Oryzias latipes: one gene and its partner. The protein of the gene in region 2 purifies or fractionates together with the protein of the main gene of each other region. This does not show direct contact. Links are inferred from orthologs where the notes say so. Each region holds a gene or a part of one and is shown on either strand. Other genes may lie near its edges.

Region 1 (4,144 bases), on a different chromosome or scaffold from region 2:
ACGAACCCTCAACTCCCTGCAGAAACCGAGCTGAGGCTTTTACCTGGGCAGTCGAACAGTATGTAATCGTCTTCCACGTGACCTAAGCTTTCCTCCAGCCAGTCGAAGTTGTTAGCAAAGTACTCCATGCAGAACACCAGGCCTCCGTTGGGGCCGAACCTGAGAGAGTCATCCTCCATGACATCGTCCACCTGGATGAGCTCCCGGATGTCTGAAAGCACAAAAAAAAAAAACACAAGGCATTAATTCCTGGAAACGGACTTAAAAAAACAACCTTCGCAGGATCTCACTTTTCACTAATCATCTACTTTTGCTTCTAATTTCAACGACGGGCGATAAAAGTATTTGTCAGCCACCGATTCTGCAAGCTGTCCTACTTAAAAATGGTAGAGGTCTCTAAAGTTCATCATAGCTAGATACACTTCAACCGTGAGAGAGACAATAAAAAAAAAAAGAATCCAAGAAATTGTATTTTAGGATTTTGAAATCATTTATTTATTCAGTGGTGCAAAAAGTACCACAGAAGTATTTATCTCCTACAAACGACCAGGATGTCTGTCCCTCACAGACCTGTTACTTCTTTAAGAAATTCTTCCATGTTTCCTGTGTTAACGTCACCTGTTTGCTATATGATCTTGAGAACGATGAGGAAACCGCCCAGAACTACACAAAAATGGAACTCTTTGGCATCAACGCCACTTGCAGTTTTTTGCGGCGAAAGATCGCCAATTCACATCCCAGGAACACATTACCTACTGTGAAGCATGGGGGTGGAAACATCATGAATTGGGCCTGTGTTTCTGCTCACTGGACATTACAACTGATCCTTGTTACGAAAAGGATGAATGGAGAGATTTTGGGCAAAAGAAAACTTCTTCTTTCAGTGGGAGTACTGAGGATGAAATGTGCCTGGATCTTCCAGCATGACAAAAATCTCAAACACATTGCCTAGAGCAGTGTTTTTCAACCAGTGTGCCGCGGCACACTAGTGTGCCGTGGGAGATGGTCCAGTGTGCCGTGGGAAATTGCCCTCATTAACTGATCTAAAAACATTTCCCATCTCCAGGAAATCAGCTCTGTGTTCATCCAAACAGGCCCTGATAAAACACTGAGTAGTTAGGAATATAAAAGATCACAAAATTATTTTTTCTTTGTGTTTATTTGATTCTATTAAAGACATTTTGATAAGAATGACGGTACCGCGATTTGGCTGCAGCTTTAGCTGTTTTAGGAAAAGTCCCGCCCCTTTAACTGTCTCCGCCAATCATTCTTGAAGGTTTAATCACATGTCATCAGTCTGACCAATCAGAAGTGGTTAAAGTCTTCACTTCCTTGTCCCGATTTAGCTCATAAAGTCTCTCGGTTCTAACAAAAATACCAGCCAAAGGTCGTCTTTAGCGGTGTAGCTTTCCACAGAATCCGGTGTCAGACCGTGGAACAAGTGAACAAAACATTGAAGCTTCTGCCCTTTTGCGGCAGTTTTCACACTACATCTCCCACGATGCACTGGGTTAAAGGGACAGCGTCTTAGCGTACAATGAGTCGTCCTTGTTAAATGTCTTGAAACCACAACAAACACACATGAAACAGTTTTTGAATTTTCTAACTTAACTTTTATTTCATCTTTTAGAAAAAACAGCTGCAACTTCCTGTTTTTTCTGCCCCAATTATCACAAAAATGCACGTGAGATTGCGGGGGGGGGGGGCTGTCGATCAATACAGACTGAGTTTTTTTTTGGATGCTGGTGTGCCGCTGTGTCTTTGTCAAGGTTAAAGTGTGCCGTGGCTCAAAAAATGTTGAAAAACACTGGCCTAGGCAACACAAAAGTGGCAAAATATGAACCATTTTAAGGCTCTGGAGTGGTCTAGCTAGACTGTGGACCTCAATCCAATAGAGAATCTGTGGAGGGAGATGAAAGTCTGTGATGCTCAGTAACGTCAAAGCTCTTGAGGAGATCTACATGGAGAAATGGACCAAAAGAGAAGACCCAATGAAAATGTCTGACCTCTATCAAAAGAATTGAGATGAACTTTTGATATTGACCAAATACTTATTTTCTACTTCACTTTACAAATGAAGTCTTTAATTTGTAACATTCTATCTCTCAATACTGAGGTGTATCCATAATATGACTTAGGAGTGAATGAATAATGGACACATAATAAGCACTTTAAGCGTCTGGAAAAGCGCAGAAAGATCCAATCCACTATTATTATTATTAATATTGTTATTATTATTATATAAACTTAAAGATTCAATAAAATACTTTTTTTTTAAACAAAAGTAAATTAGGTTCAACAGATCTCAAGACTTTAACAAGGATTTACCAACGTCAGAAAGGACATCCTGCTGTCATAGATGGATTACCATGACAACATGATCGTTTTTTAATTTTTTTGTTTTCATATTTGGAGACACAAACGGTTCATTTTGAGCATACTAACCTGCCATAACAGGGTAATTAAAGTGTTCTGCTGCTGGATCCAGGTTGACCACCTGAACTGAGCGGTTCAAAGCCTCTGCATGCTGGGTCATGGTGGAGCAGTACGTACTCTGAAATATTAATAATAATATTTTAAAAAGATACAATTAATGGCAAAACACAATAACAAAATAAAAACACGCTGGGTGACTGACACCACCTCATGTACTGTTAGCAACAACAGACAAGAGGCTGTAGACCATCCAGTGGCATTTTTGAAAACATACCTTTCCGCTACCAGCCGGGCCCATCACCAACTGGGCATAGCGAGGCATTTTCTCTGAAAAATGCGGTGTGATAAAGATCTTAAGTATCTTTAACCACAGACGCTAGCTTGTAATGCCATACGCATCGGTGTGATGACGCTACTTCTTCTTCTCCGGTAGATGATTTACGGTCAGGCTCATTACTGCCACCTACTGATCAAAAGAGGAAATGGAAGTCAGGGTGACAGTGGTCTGAAAAAGAGCCACAATGGAATGAACTGGTGATGAATTATTACACCTTTCGCACGGTGGATGTGAAAACAAAAATGCAATCCCATCTTTGCATTTTCGCTTTAATTATGCCACAGAATAAGCGGTGTTGAAGAAGAAAAAGAAAAGCAGATTGGCTCATTCGTTTGTAATTTTATTTTTTAATTCACTTGATGCAGTTACATTTTCAAAATGAAAAAGCATTTCTGTTAATAAACTTTGATGATCAAAGAAGATATTTCTAATTACATTATGCTACACATTTAGTAAAAAATGTCGAATACCATTTTCTTTCTCATTTTAATTAAGTGACAGAATGAGCTGTGTTGAAGAAGAAGAAAAAGAAAAAGTGGTTTGGTCGGATTGTTTTTTTTTTTATTATAAATTATTACAAATGCAGCTTCATTTTAAAAATTGAAAAAGCATTTCTGGTATTGACTTTCATTTTAAAATATACTACAGAAATCTTCCATACGAATGTACTGATGATGAGCATTGAACCAATATAGTGAGGAAAATACTGTGCAACAATTGTTTTCTTTTTGTGTGTCAATTACCATTGAGTCGCAAATTCTGTGGCAGTGTCAGTTGTGGCATTTTTTTAAGTTTCCCCAGGAAATGAAAAATTTTGCTCTTTAACTTTAAAATTGCTTTATTAAAACCATATGTATTTATTTGAACAAGTCGTTTAAACTGCCTATGATATGACCACGATAACCATGAAACTTAAAGCAAAGATCATGACAATAAGTTGTTCACAAACTGGCCGTTAGGGAGCGGTAGAGCCCCAGGGATCTTTGCTGTCAACAAACGAAACCACCAAAATTGAGTAAGAAGTAGAAAGTGACTGCATCAACATGCGATGATCAGGTGAAATTTGGAAACGTATGCAAGCCTTCCTGCTCACCAAGTTTGTTGATTGCGTCCTTCATCAGGCGCTTAAATTAATAGTATGTTTCGAGGAAGTGAATGGAGTTAACAGGCCAAGTTTGTGTACAGACATTACCGCGTGACGGTGGACTTCTTAGCAGGTACTACTACTACTACTAACTATGGCAAGTCTTTGTTTTTCTATTTTTTAAAACAAATGTTTTCTTTTTTTGTTGTATTTTTTTTTGCTGTCTGAAACACGTTCATGTTAATTTTCGTCAGTGCTTTCGATTTACGTGATATGAAATAGTTTCA
Region 2 (4,095 bases):
GCATCAAACGGGTTACGGCAGCACACCGCTCCCGTCCCGCGGGACTCGGGTCAGCTGAGGAGAATAAATGTCCCACACCTACATGCGTGACAGCTAACGGGGCTTGAACTTTAAACACGCTCGAGCAAAAACAAGATTAGTTTTAGACACACTGAAAATACGTGGGGAAAATGCAACGATAGACGTGTTTGAGATGAACCGGCACCTCGCCTGGATCGTTAGGGAGACCAGGCGGGGGGGGGGGGGGGGGGGGGGGGGGGGGGGGGGGGCACTGTGAGATGAAGGCGAATCTGCAGCAAGACTGAAGGACAACAGTTGGAGTTGTCCTTAACATTCAATTTAGTTTTAATATTCTTCTCCCCCTTAGTATGATCTGTGTTATTATATATTTTATGATTATTTTAATGTTTTGTGATGTATGTAGCCTTTTTAATGAATTGGTATTTTAAATTATTTTAATTAATCACTCCACTACAAAAACCATCAGGACACATGTCCCATAATGCATTGTTTTGTAGTCTCTAGTTTCCAGCTGTGTCCGGGTAGGTTTGCCCCTTGCTCCCACCCCTTTCTCGCGATATTTTTGTGATGATTGACAGTTGATGTTGGAGCAAAAACAAAAATATATGTCTCACACCAGGTGATCTGTGCAGCGTTGAGTTCACCTGGGTGATCTCAAACACACTTATTGTGCATCTTGGCTGCACCTATTTGGTGTCACAAAGATAAATTTCCATCTGTTTTCTTTACTATTTGTACTGTCATGACAGCGATGGTGCTGTCAGTTTACCTTCTTGTTGCATCTTCAAAAGTGAAGAATAAAATGTGACACTGAATTTGAAACAGCACATTTTAATTTCTGCATCTATTATTAAAGTATTTATTAGTAATACAGTGGAAATGAATAGATTTGGTTAGCATGTTGATTTACGGTATGCGCCCCTAGAATTTTCAGTTAGGGGCCACAGTGCTCCTAGTGAAAAAAGTTAGTCTGGAGCCCTGATGTGGCATAAAAATCAGAAGCTCCTACTAAAACTGAAGGACCTGCAGCCCAAACCAGCCAACGCAGACTCACCGGCTCCTCCACCTCCCCTGACGTGTGCTGTGCTTCAGCCTGCAGGTCGATGGGAGGCGCGTCCTCCACAATCCTCTGCACGGACATCTGGATGAACTCATCGAAGGAGTCCAGCTGCTGCCGCACCAAACCCTTCTCATCGAAGTACGAGCTGCAGAACAGACAGCAGTTCAGGAAGAGCTCGGAGAGCTGCAGCGGATCAGAACCGTCTGCGTCACATCCTGCACCAGAAACTCACAGAACCGATGATTAAAAGAGATGACTGAAGAGGCTTAAAGTGTAAAAGATGATCAGAAAAAGGTTCAACTTTTCCTTTGTTTTTTATTGAACTCTATCTAAACAGCAGTTTGGGTTTCTGATGCAGAACGCTCTGGTGACTGCGTGACTGCTGCGTGTGCGGCAGCAGAAACCCACTCATGTTTTGTCACAGTGGGCCTGACAGGTGAGCTTACCTGATGACGATCCAGCATGCTTCCTGCCACAGATCTGGGGTGATTTCATCATCGTCTTCATCATACTGGTTATCTAACAGACACAGAAATGATGAGGCCACATCCACACTAAGACATTAAAGGTAACTGACAGCAGCTGGTCATCAACACTGAGCTGTTGGTTCCTTAGGGTTACGCTCTAGTTAGTTTGGTGGGTGTCCGTCATCGGTCTGGACTGCAAATAAAGGTTTGTTTGTATATGACTGTGTTATCATGACAGAGGGAGTGAGGGTTTATGTTCATATTCCTTCTCTACATCCTAACTACTTAAAAAACTATCTATTGCCCTGGTTATTAAAGCCAATTAAAGCCATGTTTACTGCTTTTCTTTTATGGCAAATATGACATTTTATGACGTAAATCTGAACATGTTTGATGATGACCATCATCATCATCATGATGATGGTTAATAGAAATTCCTTTAAATACTTTTTTTTCAAATGAAAAATTGTTCAAACGCAATGCATTGTGGTCCAAATTCACCAATCAAGTGACCATCAAGGCACACTGGTTTTTCGCAGAGACTTCTGGGAAATTTCTAGCGATCTGGATTTTGGAATTGTAGATTTGGATTATTCGGACAGTCACTTAACCAGAATCAGTGAGCGTGTTTACAGGTTAACAAACAGACTGAACAGATGTTAAAGCCACTCAGCTGCTGCTCCTGCTGCTGTGGAGCGGCGCTGCTCCTGCACGGCAGTCACCTCCCACAGCATCCCACTGACCAGGGAGGGTGGTGGGCCCATTCCCAGAAAACAGTCTTCTTCTTCTTCAATTCTCCAACTATTCAATGATGACCATATTGGTGAACAAACATTTCTGGTTTGGCATAAAATACTTCAAAATATCGCGACAAAGTGCTAATGTTTCCCCCCAGCCGGACTGACTAAAGTTATTTGCGTGTTTCCTAGTCTGCTCGTTTTCCACGCGTGTTTTTCCCCCCTGGTTACTACGTGCGTCTCGGTTTTAAGAGTCTGTTCAACTACAGAAAGTCCGGTTCCAGAAACTTGCTGCATGCAAAGAAGCTTCAGACAGGTTTTGGTTGAACAACATGGAACATCATGATCATGGATGGAGGAGACGTTCGCCATGCGTGAGCGTTCACGCGCAGCTCTAACGGCGCTGCGTGGAATCCGCGCCTCACCTTCGTCCTGGTCGTACATGATGGCTTCCGAAAATCCCTCAAAACAAAGACGGCTTCAGAAAAAAGAAGACAAAAACACGGAGAAGCGGCGCGCAGCCTGACACAGAGACCCGGAAACACTTCTTCTTTTTCTGCGGGGTTTCCGGTGTTTGGCGGTCATCTGCTGTGACAGCGCCCCCTGCGGTTGAGGCCAAGAACAGCAGTGTGCGAAGTGCAGTTAGTAAAACAAATGTAACAATAATAAATCAGACATCAAAGCTAACTATAGATACTTAACATTTTACTCTAATATCATTAGGTTTTCCCTTCAATCAGTGTTCAACTTACAATGTTTAAATATCCATAAATTCAAGAAATTGTAGAAGGAAACTTTTGTTTCTCAATATGGAGATGAGAGGACTTACAGGTCATTTTGTGTTCATGTAAATCCCAAATATAAGGATGTGTGAACTTATAACTAATGTTTTTGTTGATAATCAATGACGCTTGGTAGTGCATCTTAATGGTCTAATGTAACGTGCATGTGTTCTGTATGCATTAATGCAAAGCATCTATTTATAATTATGAATAAACACACTGTCAATATGATAGCATCATCTCATTACATCTTTTTTCTTATCAATTATTACTTTTTATCTGAAATGGATTTAATCTGTTTAAATTTTGGATTTCTGTTCTTTATTGTATAATTCCATGATTTCAATACTTAAAATGAATCATAAAATTAACTATAAAAAAATAATCACTGCAGTTTAACAAGAGGCCAAGTGGACTTCACTTCCTGCCGGAAGCCTTTCCTCTGTGTTGATTAGAAAATAATGAAGTCACAGGACTTTTTTGAAAGGATTTTAAGTATGTTTGATTAAAATTAACAGTAAATTTGAACAAATTGACAAACATCCAGAAAGTGAAGCTTTTAGTAAAACATGAGCAGAGATGCAGCAGGTTTTACATCTGATCCGTTTTCCTAACATTATTTAAGTTCACTATCAGAGGTTTTAAGGTGTTTCTGTAAAAAAGAAGATGGTAGAACCCAAATAACGTATAAATCCAGATCCATCTGAAACAGACGTAGCCTGTAAGTGTTACAACCCTCTGCTACATAGTGGAGGGAAAAGCAGAAACTCTTCTATTGATTGAAAGATTGTCTAAAAATGAGATTTTATTTTTTCTAGTACTGTTGGGAATTTTATGTAAAACCAGAGTTTTATAACGATCTATTTTCTGTACCATCAGTGAATGGAGTCTTTGATGAGGAAAAGCTTAGTCATCACAAACGGTCCTATTGTTGCAGCTTTTAATCCCCCTCCCAACACCTACAGAACAATTCTAATCTTTGTAGATAATCTGGGTTAGCTAGAACTGTATTTTTCATAATTGACACA

What was found.
Region 1: the proteins of polr2b (region 2) and gpn3 purify together in Homo sapiens (co-immunoprecipitation; 3 studies listed by BioGRID and IntAct, counting the BioPlex papers as one, with this or other methods). This does not show direct contact. The link is inferred for Oryzias latipes from reciprocal best matches to the Homo sapiens genes POLR2B and GPN3.

The regions. Positions count from the first base shown.
Region 1 is NC_019870.2:16,801,104-16,805,247, forward strand, and holds the start of gpn3 (GPN-loop GTPase 3), read right to left. Parts: upstream 2,874-4,144; 5' UTR 2,759-2,873; coding exon 2,711-2,758; intron 2,555-2,710; coding exon 2,446-2,554; intron 212-2,445; coding exon 44-211; intron 1-43. UniProt on the Homo sapiens protein: Small GTPase required for proper localization of RNA polymerase II (RNAPII). May act at an RNAP assembly step prior to nuclear import.
Region 2 is NC_019868.2:3,851,898-3,855,992, forward strand, and holds the start of polr2b (DNA-directed RNA polymerase II subunit RPB2), read right to left. Parts: upstream 2,846-4,095; 5' UTR 2,730-2,845; coding exon 2,711-2,729; intron 1,601-2,710; coding exon 1,528-1,600; intron 1,227-1,527; coding exon 1,076-1,226; intron 1-1,075. UniProt on the Homo sapiens protein: Catalytic core component of RNA polymerase II (Pol II), a DNA-dependent RNA polymerase which synthesizes mRNA precursors and many functional non-coding RNAs using the four ribonucleoside triphosphates as substrates.